Macaca mulatta: one gene and its partner. The protein of the gene in region 1 purifies or fractionates together with the protein of each later gene. This does not show direct contact. Links are inferred from orthologs where the notes say so. Each region holds a gene or a part of one and is shown on either strand. Other genes may lie near its edges.

The links. Proteins that work in one complex are often made in the same cells at the same time.
Region 2: the proteins of EP300 (region 1) and SP3 purify together in Homo sapiens (affinity purification with western blotting; 4 studies listed by BioGRID, with this or other methods). This does not show direct contact. The link is inferred for Macaca mulatta from reciprocal best matches to the Homo sapiens genes EP300 and SP3.

What each region holds. Positions count from the first base shown.
Region 1 is NC_133415.1:10,344,642-10,349,931, reverse strand, and holds part of EP300 (histone acetyltransferase p300), read left to right. Parts: intron 1-1,246; exon of another isoform or gene 1,247-1,349; intron 1,350-1,486; coding exon 1,487-1,637; intron 1,638-1,758; coding exon 1,759-1,905; intron 1,906-2,449; coding exon 2,450-2,563; intron 2,564-3,346; coding exon 3,347-3,512; intron 3,513-5,145; coding exon 5,146-5,290. UniProt on the Homo sapiens protein: Functions as a histone acetyltransferase and regulates transcription via chromatin remodeling. Acetylates all four core histones in nucleosomes. Histone acetylation gives an epigenetic tag for transcriptional activation.
Region 2 is NC_133417.1:78,863,057-78,869,052, reverse strand, and holds the start of SP3 (transcription factor Sp3), read left to right. Parts: upstream 1-2,122; 5' UTR 2,123-2,821; coding exon 2,822-2,828; exon of another isoform or gene 2,829-3,142; intron 3,143-3,442; coding exon 3,443-3,591; intron 3,592-4,106; coding exon 4,107-4,229; intron 4,230-5,996. UniProt on the Homo sapiens protein: Transcriptional factor that can act as an activator or repressor depending on isoform and/or post-translational modifications. Binds to GT and GC boxes promoter elements. Competes with SP1 for the GC-box promoters.

The DNA of each region.
Region 1 (5,290 bases):
CTTGGTCTCCCAAAGTACTGGGATTATAGGTGTGAGCCACCATACCCAGCCCCTCAGTTTACACCATTTATATGGGCTGCCTTTTGGCCGTATGTGATTCTTTTCTGTTGTGCCAGGAGGATGTCAAAAATTTTATCATATAAGTAATTAACACTAATAATCTAAATGTAGCATTTGATTTAGTTTTGGTGTGTTTTACTGATCTACAGATTACTTTGATTCTTGTAAGGTTTCTCAAAATGCCCAGTCTTTGTTACTTTAAAATAGTACTGCAATCTAGGTGAAGTACATAGAGATGTTCATTATATTTTATATATATATAGATAGATATTTATATAGATATATATATATATATATATGGTTGGTTGCTTTTTTTTTTTTTTTTTTTTTTTTTTTTTTTTTTGAGACGGAGTTTCGCTCTGTCTCCCAGGCTGGAGTGCAGTGGCCGGATCTCAGCTCACTGCAAGCTCCGCCTCCCAGGTTTACGCCATTCTCCTGCCTCAGCCTCCCGAGTAGCTGGGACTACAGGCGCCCGCCACCTCGCCCGGCTAGTTTTTTGTATTTTTTAGTAGAGACGGGGTTTCACGGTGTTCGCCAGGATGGTCTCGATCTCCTGACCTCGTGATCCACCCGTCTCGGCCTCCCAAAGTGCTGGGATTACAGGCTTGAGCCACCGCGCCTGGCCGTTGGTTGCATTTTGTTTTTGTTTTTTGGAAACAAGGTTTCACTGTGTTGTCCAGGCTGATCTTGAACTCCTGGATTCAAGCAATCCTCCCACCTCAGCCTCCCAAAGTGCAGGGATTAGGATTATAGGTGTGAGCCTTGTGTCCTGGCCATTGTTCTGTTTGTTTTTGTTTTTTGGGTTTTTTTTTCTTTTTTGAGACAGAGTCTCATTCTGACACCCATAGTGGCACAATCTCGGCTCACCGCAACCTCCGCCTCCCGGGTTCCAGCGATTCTCCTGCCTCAGCCTCCTGAGTAGCTGGGATTACAGGCGTGTGCCACCATGCCCGGCTAGTTCTTGTATTTTTAGTAGAGACAGGGTTTCAGCATGCTGGCCAGGCTGGTCTCGAACTTCTGACCTCAGGTGATCTGCCCGCCTCAGCCTCCCAAAGTGCTGGGATTACAGGTGTGAGCCACTGCAACCAGCCCCTGTTCTGTATTTTTATAAACTCTTCCAAAATTGGAAATTTTTCAAAATGAAAAGTTGGGGAAAATGACATTTAGAAATTATTGAGTACTGTGTCTGCTTTAACAGCACATATATTAAAATTAGAATGATACAGAGAAGATTAGCATGTTCCCTGCACTAATATGACATGCAAATCTGCAAAGTAGTGAATACTTAAATATGCTGTGATTTTTTAAAATTTCACCAAGTTACCCTGTTTGTATTGAAAAAAGTACAAATGAGATTTAAGGTTGAACCTTAAGACTAACAATAGTAAATCTGCACCTCAGTAACTTTTAACTTCTACATTCCTAGGGTTGCCATCTACCAGACTTGGCACCTTTCTAGAGAATCGTGTGAATGACTTTCTGAGGCGACAGAATCACCCTGAGTCAGGAGAGGTCACTGTTAGAGTAGTTCATGCTTCTGACAAAACCGTGGAAGTAAAACCAGGCATGAAAGCAAGGTATCTAGTCATTTCACTTTTCTTCTCTTGTGGATCCAAAATTGCTCATACGTGGTTACCATTGGTGATTGCAATCTGAATGAATTTATGTTGTGGTCCTCCCACTATCTCAATTGTATAGGTTTGTGGACAGTGGAGAGATGGCAGAATCCTTTCCATACCGAACCAAAGCCCTCTTTGCCTTTGAAGAAATTGATGGCGTTGACCTGTGCTTCTTTGGCATGCATGTTCAAGAGTATGGCTCTGACTGCCCTCCACCCAACCAGAGGTATGACTGGCTCACAGTGGCTAGCTCCGGATTTGTGTGGGAGTTCCAAATTATAATAGGCGGAAGAGTATAACAGGCAAGAAAATGTTGAGTGTGCTTGGTTTGGAAATGCAAAATCTCAAGTATACAATAATTGTAAAGTGAAACAGATTAAAAAGCAAACCCCCAAACAAAATAACTGCTTGATTCTGCTCTTCTGTGGCCATAATAATAAAGGATATGAATAGCAACCTGAAATGGGAATTTGGAAACAAACGTACTACTCTTCAGAAAATGAGCTTAAATCTGGATAATGTATAGGAATCACCAAATACTGATGGATGTGTATGTGCCAGGCACTGCTAGTTACTTCAAATAGAAGGAAACCACAGGCTCGCTGAACTTTCCTGAAGGGTTCACAGTGGAGTCGCCCACCTGCCTGTGATGAGTTTCATAAATAACGATGTGAGCAAAGAGCCTGGGAGAGTGAGAGAGAGTTATTAGGCACATGGAATAAATAACTCAGTAGATTTGACTTTTCTTTTTTTCTCTTCATTTTGTATAGGAGAGTATACATATCTTACCTCGATAGTGTTCATTTCTTCCGTCCTAAATGCTTGAGGACTGCAGTCTATCATGAAATCCTGATTGGATATTTAGAATATGTCAAGAAATTAGGGTAAGCATATTTTGATAAATTTTTTTTTATTAGGACATTCTGGTGAGATACAGGTTAAATTTGCAAATATGTAACTCTTTGCCTTTTTTTCCTCATTTTAGTTCTTACCTAACAAGTCTCTCAACTTTGTTAGAGCCCCTTCGAAGTTAATGTTGTCAGTAGGAGAGAAATGGATATGTTGACTCTATCACCTATCCAACATCAGTTTTGTTTTGTTCAGCTGAGCTATTGGGTCCAGTTTGCTTTGAAGTTTGATTTGTGCCTCTCATTTGAGGGCAGAATTTTAACTGCATTTGATCCTTTTATAACCTGGGTATCAAGACCAGAAACAGCTCTGGAAATACTTCTTACCTTTAGAGTATGTATGTCATTGGAAACATTCATTCCCTCATCTTGAAGACTGTTTCTCTGAATAGTGTGCCTTTTAATTTAGCTCTCTTGTTAAACGGGTCAATTTTCCTTCACAACGTAATCTTCATTTGGTCTTAACATGCAAACTTAGGGTTTTTGGATCCAGGGCTAAGTCATCTGCTTTCTGGCTGAGATTCACAACATCCCGCCATGGCCTCCAAAAATAAGTAGAGGCAGTATGAGATCCATTGTTTAAATTACTGTGAGTTATGCCTAATTTTGGTCTCACAATGTTAATCTCATGCTGGGTTATACACTGTGTTATCTTGGGAAAAATTATTGGTATCTATATCAACTCCACCTTGTGGTTTTAAAGTGTAGCCTTCTAGAATAGATGATCTTTTTTCCTTAATGTTCTCTTTGTATTGCTAGTTACACAACAGGGCATATTTGGGCATGTCCACCAAGTGAGGGAGATGATTATATCTTCCATTGCCATCCTCCTGACCAGAAGATACCCAAGCCCAAGCGACTGCAGGAATGGTACAAAAAAATGCTTGACAAGGCTGTATCAGAGCGTATTGTCCATGACTACAAGGTCAGTTGGGACATGGGGGCCAGGTGCTGACAGTAGATCTGGAAATACACTAATGTTGCTGCTCTGTATTCTGTCATTTAACTTTTTTTTTTTTTAAACAAAAGTCTTATTTGTTCTACCTCTTGCATGTAATTCCTAAAAATGCTAATTTGTTGCTTTTATTTTGTATATTCAAAATTTTCTAATGTAAGAAAAACCAGGTTTTGAAGAGTGGTAGATCAAGAAGATCAAGAGATCCCTGTTTTAAAAAACATGTAACCAAAATTTTATTTTTTTTTTTTTTAGGGGGGTACAGTTGGGGTATCGCCATGCTGCCCAGGCTGGACTTGAACTTTTGGCCTCAAGCAGTCCAAAGTGCTGGGATTACAGGCATGAGCCACTGTGCCTGGCCTTAAAATACATCTTTTTGTTTGTTTGGTTTGGGTTGGTTAGGGTTTTAGGGGTGGGGATGTTTTGTTTTCAGACAGGGTCACTCTCTGTCACCCAGGCTAGGGTACAGTGGCATGATATCTGCTCACTGCAACCTGTGCCTCCCAGGCTCAAGCCATCCTCCCACCTCAGCTTCCTGAGTTGCTGGGACTACAGGTGCACACCACCATACCTGGCTAATTTTTGTATATTTTTTGTAGAGACAGGATTTCACTATGTTGCCCAGGCTGGTCTCAAACTCCTGAGCTCAAGTGATCCACCCATCTCAGCCTCCCAAAGTGCTGGGATTACAGGCATGAGCCACCTCACCCAGCCAAAAATATGGTTTTTTTTTTTTTGTTTTTTGTTTTTGGACAGTTTCACTCTTGTTGCTCAGGCTGGAGTGCAACGGTACGATCTAGGCTCACTGCAATCTCTTATTTCCCAGGTTCAAGCGATTGTCCTACCTCAGCCTCCCGAGTAGCTGGAATTACAGGCATGCACCACTACACTGGGCTAATTTTTTGTATTTTTAGTGGAGATGGGGTTTCTCCATGTTGGTCAGGCTGGTCTCGAACTCCCAACCTCTGGTGATCTACGTGCCTCAGCCTCCCAAAGTGCTGGGATTACAGGTGTGAGCTACTGCACCTGGCCAAAAATATATTCTTTCTTAATACTATTTTAAACATTCATGAATATAGGCTGTCTCATGATACAGACTTGTCTTCCTCAATTTAGTAGTTCAACTAAATAAAGAAGTTTTCCTAAGCTGCCCAGCGAATCATTCTGCAGCAGATACTGTTTCCAGTATTTGTAGTTTTGGGCATTTTGAACAAAGCTATCAATAAAAGCTGCTGAAATTCCAAAGATGGGTGTGAGGAGGGCATGCCTCACACCACATACTCTGTGGTAAGGGCCATGGCTTGCATGATGGTGCTACCACCCTGACATCGATCCTCGCAGAATAATTGCCACTTGATTATATAAAGGCAGATAAGCTCCCTGCTTTTGTGGGTAGAAGAAATAGAAAACCAGAAATACTGACTTTAGGCCAGGCCTTTTCACTGTTTTTCTAAATAGCTCCCTGGTTTATGGCTTAGGTATATAGTCTCTGCCAGCTTTCAAGACATTTTAAGCTTTCATGTTTCTTGTCAGCCATGATTCTTTATAATCAATGCTTTAAAAGAACATAGGAATTCCTATTTGTACATGCTTGTTTTCACAGGATATTTTTAAACAAGCTACTGAAGATAGATTAACAAGTGCAAAGGAATTGCCTTACTTCGAGGGTGATTTCTGGCCCAATGTTCTGGAAGAAAGCATTAAGGAACTGGAACAGGAGGAAGAAGAGAGAAAACGAGAAGAAAACA
Region 2 (5,996 bases), on another chromosome or scaffold:
GGTTGTCATTTCTTGTGTTGGGAACATTTCAAATCTTCCCTTCTGGTTATTTTGAAATATATAATATATTGCTATTTACTATAGTCACCCTACTGTGCTACTGAACACTAGAACTTATTCCTTCCATCTAACTGTATGTTTGTACCAATTAACCAACCTCTCTTTGTCACCCCACCTCTCTATATATATCTCTTAAAAGCATCCCATCAAAAGCAGTATAGTTAGTTCAGGTAGGTCATTTAAAAATTTTTTTAGACAGTCTCTGTCTTGCTGGAGTGCAGTGGTGCCATCTCAGCTCACTGCAAACTTCACTTCCCAGGTTCAAGTAATTCTCCTGTGTCAGCCTCTTGAGTAGCCGGGATTACATGTGTGCGCCACCGTGCCTGGTTAATTTTTGTATTTCAAGTTGAGACGGGGTTTCACCATGGCAGTCAGGCTGGTCTCGAACTTCTGACCTCAAGTGATCTGCCGTCCTCGGCCTCCCAAAGTGCTGGGATCACAGGTATGAGCCACCGTGCCCAGCTAGGCTATTTTTTTTTTTCCGTGTTTTTTTGTTTGTTAAAATGGTCTATGGACGTGCCATCCCCACCCCGCAAAAAAGAAAGAAAAAAGACTTCATGTCTTGTATCATTTGCCAACTGGTATGAATGAAGAAATGAATTTAATTCCTGTGGCCAAATACTTTGCTCTCTAGGTGGCTGGACTAACACTTTGCAAAAATGGTATGGCAATAGTGTAGAACATATCCCCACTCCTGAAAAAACAAACAAACAAAAAATCTGAAAATGCCTAAAATATCCTTTCTAGGGAAAGAGCTACCTTCCACCCAACAGATCCAGGTAGGAACAGAGTGATAATAGTGACTTCCCTTCCTCTCTCCCAGTCTACTTTTCACTTTTCACCTGTCCTGCTCTTCAGGGCACCCATCTCTTTTTCCCTTCCCCCCACCCCAAATCAGGTTATTTTGTGACTTTTATTTCCTTAAAAGTTTTTGTTGTAAAATAGTACACAGGTTATACCATTCAACTTTGAAGTTATTTTTCCAATTAAATGAGACTACAAGGTCTTACTATTAGGAGAGATGAACCTTATTCTTGGACTCAGAATTTTGAGTCTCGTTTCCGCATGTTTGTGGTTTTTAGGTCAATTCCCTAGAAATTCGATCTTTGTACAATTAAGAGCAAAGTAACCATACAATGTTTCTGATCCTGTGAGCATAGGCGGTTAACTGCTTTGGAACTGGGATGCAAACTCGCTATCTCACAAATGGATTACCTATTAAGTTAGTACACACAAAATCTAGTTGAAGTGCTTCACAACCTCATCCACCAGCACATCATCACATATCACACAAAATACAATCATCACAGTAATGGGAAAACTGATTCTTGAGCCAGATTTCTAAAAAAGAGGTATTGTGGACAGTGTTTCCACCTCTTGAATTTAACTTCTTTGTTGGCAACTATACTTGAAGGTAACAGGGAGAGATATCTCTTAGTTGGCAAAACACAGACATAAAACCTCAGCATTTTCCCCCAGGATGACAGCAAGATATCAAGGTTGCCAAAGAAGGAAGGAGTTTTAACCTAATCCAATGAGTGAAACAAGATTTTAAAATACAACAAAAATGTTCCAATGGGGGAAAAAAGGTACTTCACCAGTTCACGACTTTAAAAACGTTGGCAATGGTTGATGGGCTTGTTTCAGGAGATATCTGACTTGGTACCAAGAGGATTAAGAGGCTGGGGATAATACGTTTGTGCAGCAAAATGATTATGTGACTGACTTTTTAAAAAAACAGTATTCTGCCCCATTGGATACATACACATACCACAGGTAAAATGAAATATACTTTTAAGTGCCCGTTTTGGTGCCACTGGCCAAAATTAAAACTCTCCTTCCGTATGTGAGGTGACTTGAAATTTTTTTGCTTTAAATGCCTGCCTTCACGGTACGTGAAAGTGGGAGACCGGTTGGAAAGCTGGGGCTAAGGGGGCTGGGAGCGAGATGGCTGTCTGTGAATCAGAAAGCTGGATGTGTGTGAGAAAAATCCTCCTCCAGCCTCGGAGGGGGTGTCTCCCCTAATACCAGCTCCCTCCCCCCGGGCTCGTGGGGCGGGTCTGGTTTGCTCAGTAGCGGCAGCGGCCGCAGCAGCAGCCCCGGGGCTGAGCGGCGGTGCCCTCCTGGCAGCTCAGGCAAGCGGCGGCTCCAAGAGCGCGAGGCCCTGGGGAAATCCGGCCGAGGCTGCTGCCGGGATGGAGGTAGCCTCCAGTGGAGCCGGAGTCACCGGGGACGAATTTCCTCCCCAGCTCAGCTCCCCTACAGCTTGGCTAGGCCTGCTCCGAGCGCCTGCGAGGTGGAGGAGGCCTGCGCCTCGGGCCTGGCAGCGGCAGCCGGCGAGAGAGGCGGACACAGCGGGGTAACCGGCGAGCCGTAGCCGCTCTCGGAAACCTACGCTGCCACGGCCGCTCATTGTCTCGCCCCTTCCACCCGGGGGGCAAACAGGAAGCGCGCCGCCTGGCACAGCGACGGACGGGCGCCTGGACCAATGAGCACATCCGACGGAGAACACGGCGGCGAATGAGGGCCAAGAAGAGGGGCGGGAGTTCCGGGCAGGCTGTCACCCTCTTCCCCCCTTTTGGGCTGGAGGCTCCACCTTTTGTGTTTCCCGCACAGTCAATCAAAATAGGAAAAAAAAATCCCCGGACCGCTCCGGCCGTGTCCGCCGCCGCTTCCCGCATCCTCTCCCGCCGCCGCCGCCTTCGCTCCTCACCATGTGTAAGGCGGCGGGGAGCCCCGCCTGAGGTGCCCTAAACACACTATGACCGGTACGTAAAGCCGAGAGAGCAACCCTTGCTGCTGCCGCCGCCGCCGCTGCCGCCGACCACAGCCAGCCCGGGGCCGCTGCCGCCGGTCCTGGCCCCGTGTGTGCGACCGAGTGTCTGTGAGAGGCAGAAAGCTGCACTCCCCTGCGCCTCCCTCCCCTCCCCGCCAGCCACCGTCCACCCCCGAAGCCCCAGCAACGCCGTCTCCCCGCCAGGCCCCGGGGCGGGCGGCCCGGTCCGCCGGGAGCGCATCCCCCTGTGTGCGGGCGCGGGCGGGCGTGTGTGAGTGACTGACGGTGCGAGAGGAGCGAGCGCGAGTGAGAGCGAGCGGCGCGAAGGGAAAGGGGAGGAGAGGAGAGGGGGCAGGGGCAGCGCGGGGAGGAGGAGGAGGAGGGAAAGAGGAGGAGGAGGAGGGTTACAGGCAGCGGCGGGCGGGGGCAGCAGCAGGAGGGGAGGAGGGAGCCGCCGCCGCCGCCGCCGCCGCCGGGGGGCGGGTGGGGGAGGGGAAGGGGCCTGGGTCCGGGCTTTGGGAGTAATTTCGCCTCGGCCCGCGGGCCCCCTCCCTCTCCGCCACCCGCCTTCCTCCCCACCCCCACCCCCCCGCGCTGTGCCTGCAGCTCCCGAAAAGCCCGTGAAACAAGAGGAAATGGCTGCCTTGGACGTGGACAGCGGCGGCGGCGGTGGTGGCGGCGGCGGCCACGGCGAGTATCTGCAGCAGCAGCAACAGCACGGAAACGGCGCGGTGGCGGCGGCGGCGGCGGCCCAGGTGAGGAGCGGCTGAGCCCCGGCCCGGCTCCCCCCTCGCGCCGCTTTCTCCTCCCCTCGCCTCTCCCCTCCCTCCTCGCCTCACCCCTCCCTCCTCGCCTCTCCCCTCCCCTCCCCACCCCTCCCCTCCCCCCGCCTCGGGAGCTGCCCGCCCGAGGCGCCAACGCTCCGACCCCGCCCGCGACGCCCCGCCCCGCCCGCCTGCCGCCTTTTTGTGCGCGTGTGAGTGTGGGCCCCAGCGTGCCCTCTCGGGGGTGGGTTCCGGGCGGAAGGCGGAGGCCCGGCGCGCTAGCCCGCCGCCCGCCTGCCCGCAGACCGGGGAGCCGGGGTTCGTGGAGCGGGGGACGCCAGGCGGGGGCCGGCGGCGGGACCAGGAGGAGGAGGAGAGTGCGGGTTGGCGCTCGCCCGGGCGCAGTCGGCGGGGATCGAGTCGCACTTCCTGTGCGAGCGGCCGCCCGGCCCTAACCGCCACCCCCTCCCCCTGTCTCCCTCTCTGAACCCGCCCATTGGGGGTAGGACACTCAGCCGTCACCGCTCGCTCTGCTGGCCGCTACCTGCAGCAAGATAGGGCCGCCATCGCCGGGCGACGACGAGGAGGAGGCGGCCGCCGCAGCCGGGGCCCCCGCCGCCGCCGGAGCGGTAAGTCCCGCGCGCGGCCCGCCCCCGCTGAGGCCCGGCGCCCGCCATCCGGGGCCCGTAGCGCGCCCGCCCAAAAGGCCTCCCCGGCGCCCGCGCTTCTCCCGAGCCGCACGGGCCGCTGGGCTCCAGGGCGCCCTTTCCTGCTCTTTCGCGTCCCTGTTTGGATTTGAAGCCAGCCCAGGCTTTCTCGAAATTGTCACTGCGGCACCTCGCGCAAAATTCTTCACAAAATGAAGTCTGAGAGGGCGGGGGTAGAGGACTCCAAAATGGATGTTTGAGCAATTCCTATCAGTGCTGAAAACTCCTTCGCTGAACACTACAAAATTTTCAAGCACAGCCTATCGGCCATAGATAGTATCAACTAGAAGGAGTGTCTTTAGTTTTTAGTATTTTTGAAACTGGAGCATTTTCTGTTGGAAGTTACAGGATCTTACTGTTTTAAATCATACATTATTTTTAAAAAATGGGGGTTTATTATTTGAATTATCCTTTTGTATGCAGGAGTGAACACTTTTTGCTTTTTTAGTGACCATTCAAAATCGTTGATTTTTAGTTTTTGCAGACTACTTAAATTTGCAGTGAGTTTTTTTTGTAAGGGGCGTAAGTGAAACATTTAGCAGCCTTTGAAATTGGCAAGTTGCTTAGATAGTACTTTATCTTTTGAAATTGAATATGACTATCAGTGTTAGAAAAGTATATGTAAGAAATTGTATTTACATGCATGCTAATACTGCAATACTTACAGTTGAATATGATTGGCAAAAGTATATTTTTGTTTTATTACGACTGCTAGTCAGGTAAGATGTGGTGGGATTCTTTCTGTAGTGTTTTCACAGTGTCCGGGGCAAGGGGAGGAGCTCGCCTGTGTTATGTGAGGGGTTAATACAAATAGGGTAGGAATAGTTTTTAGACTGTTAATTGTGAATTTTACATTTGGATCATCACTGTTGTATTGTGTAGATTTGTTCACCTGTTAAAATAATGAAAACCCTCTCGTGTGTGTGTGGGGGGGGGGTAGATCATAGGAATTGATTTGTGGAGTGATATTTTGAATAGTCACTGAAGAAAGAGAAGTTTGGTATTTGGTATAGTCTACAGCAAATGGTTAGTACGTCCAGATTTTTTTTTTTAAGTTAAACCAATGTTAAGCTATTATTGGTAAATAGATTTGTAATTTTAGTGTTTCGTTATAGGGGATGTGAATAGTTTTAATGTCTTTTTTATAAGCAGATTAAGATGTAAAAATGTAAAATTGTATTAGGCATTGTTATTTTTAAATACATTTATGGATTGGTAGGCCTTTATTTCACCTCATTTCAGCTTCACTAAGGGTTGGTAGACCTTTTTTATGAACTGTATCCCTCTAGTTCCTAAGTGCCAAAAGAAATTGACTATCTTAAACTGCATAAGTAAAATTGAAAAGCAGATTGCTTCTACTGATCTTTTTTGTATTTCAAATGGAACAAAACTTTTCTTGTAGCTGTAATTTGTAAAGTTTAGGTATCAGTTTACAGATGGGGGAGGGGAGAAGTAAGGAACTATGGGTGAAAAATGTGTATGTACATATATATGTGAGTCTGAGGCCCAAGGATAGAATACTGTCTCCAGCCTTAGCCAGCTGTGGCCGTATGCTTGTAGGGAAGTTTCCGTGCTTCTTTAGCTGCTTCTCTGAATTACCAAATCATTCCTAACAACACATATTTTGCCAGATGAACATGAACTAGAATCAATCTGATAAATCTCAAATCATAATTTGCCAATCATAGT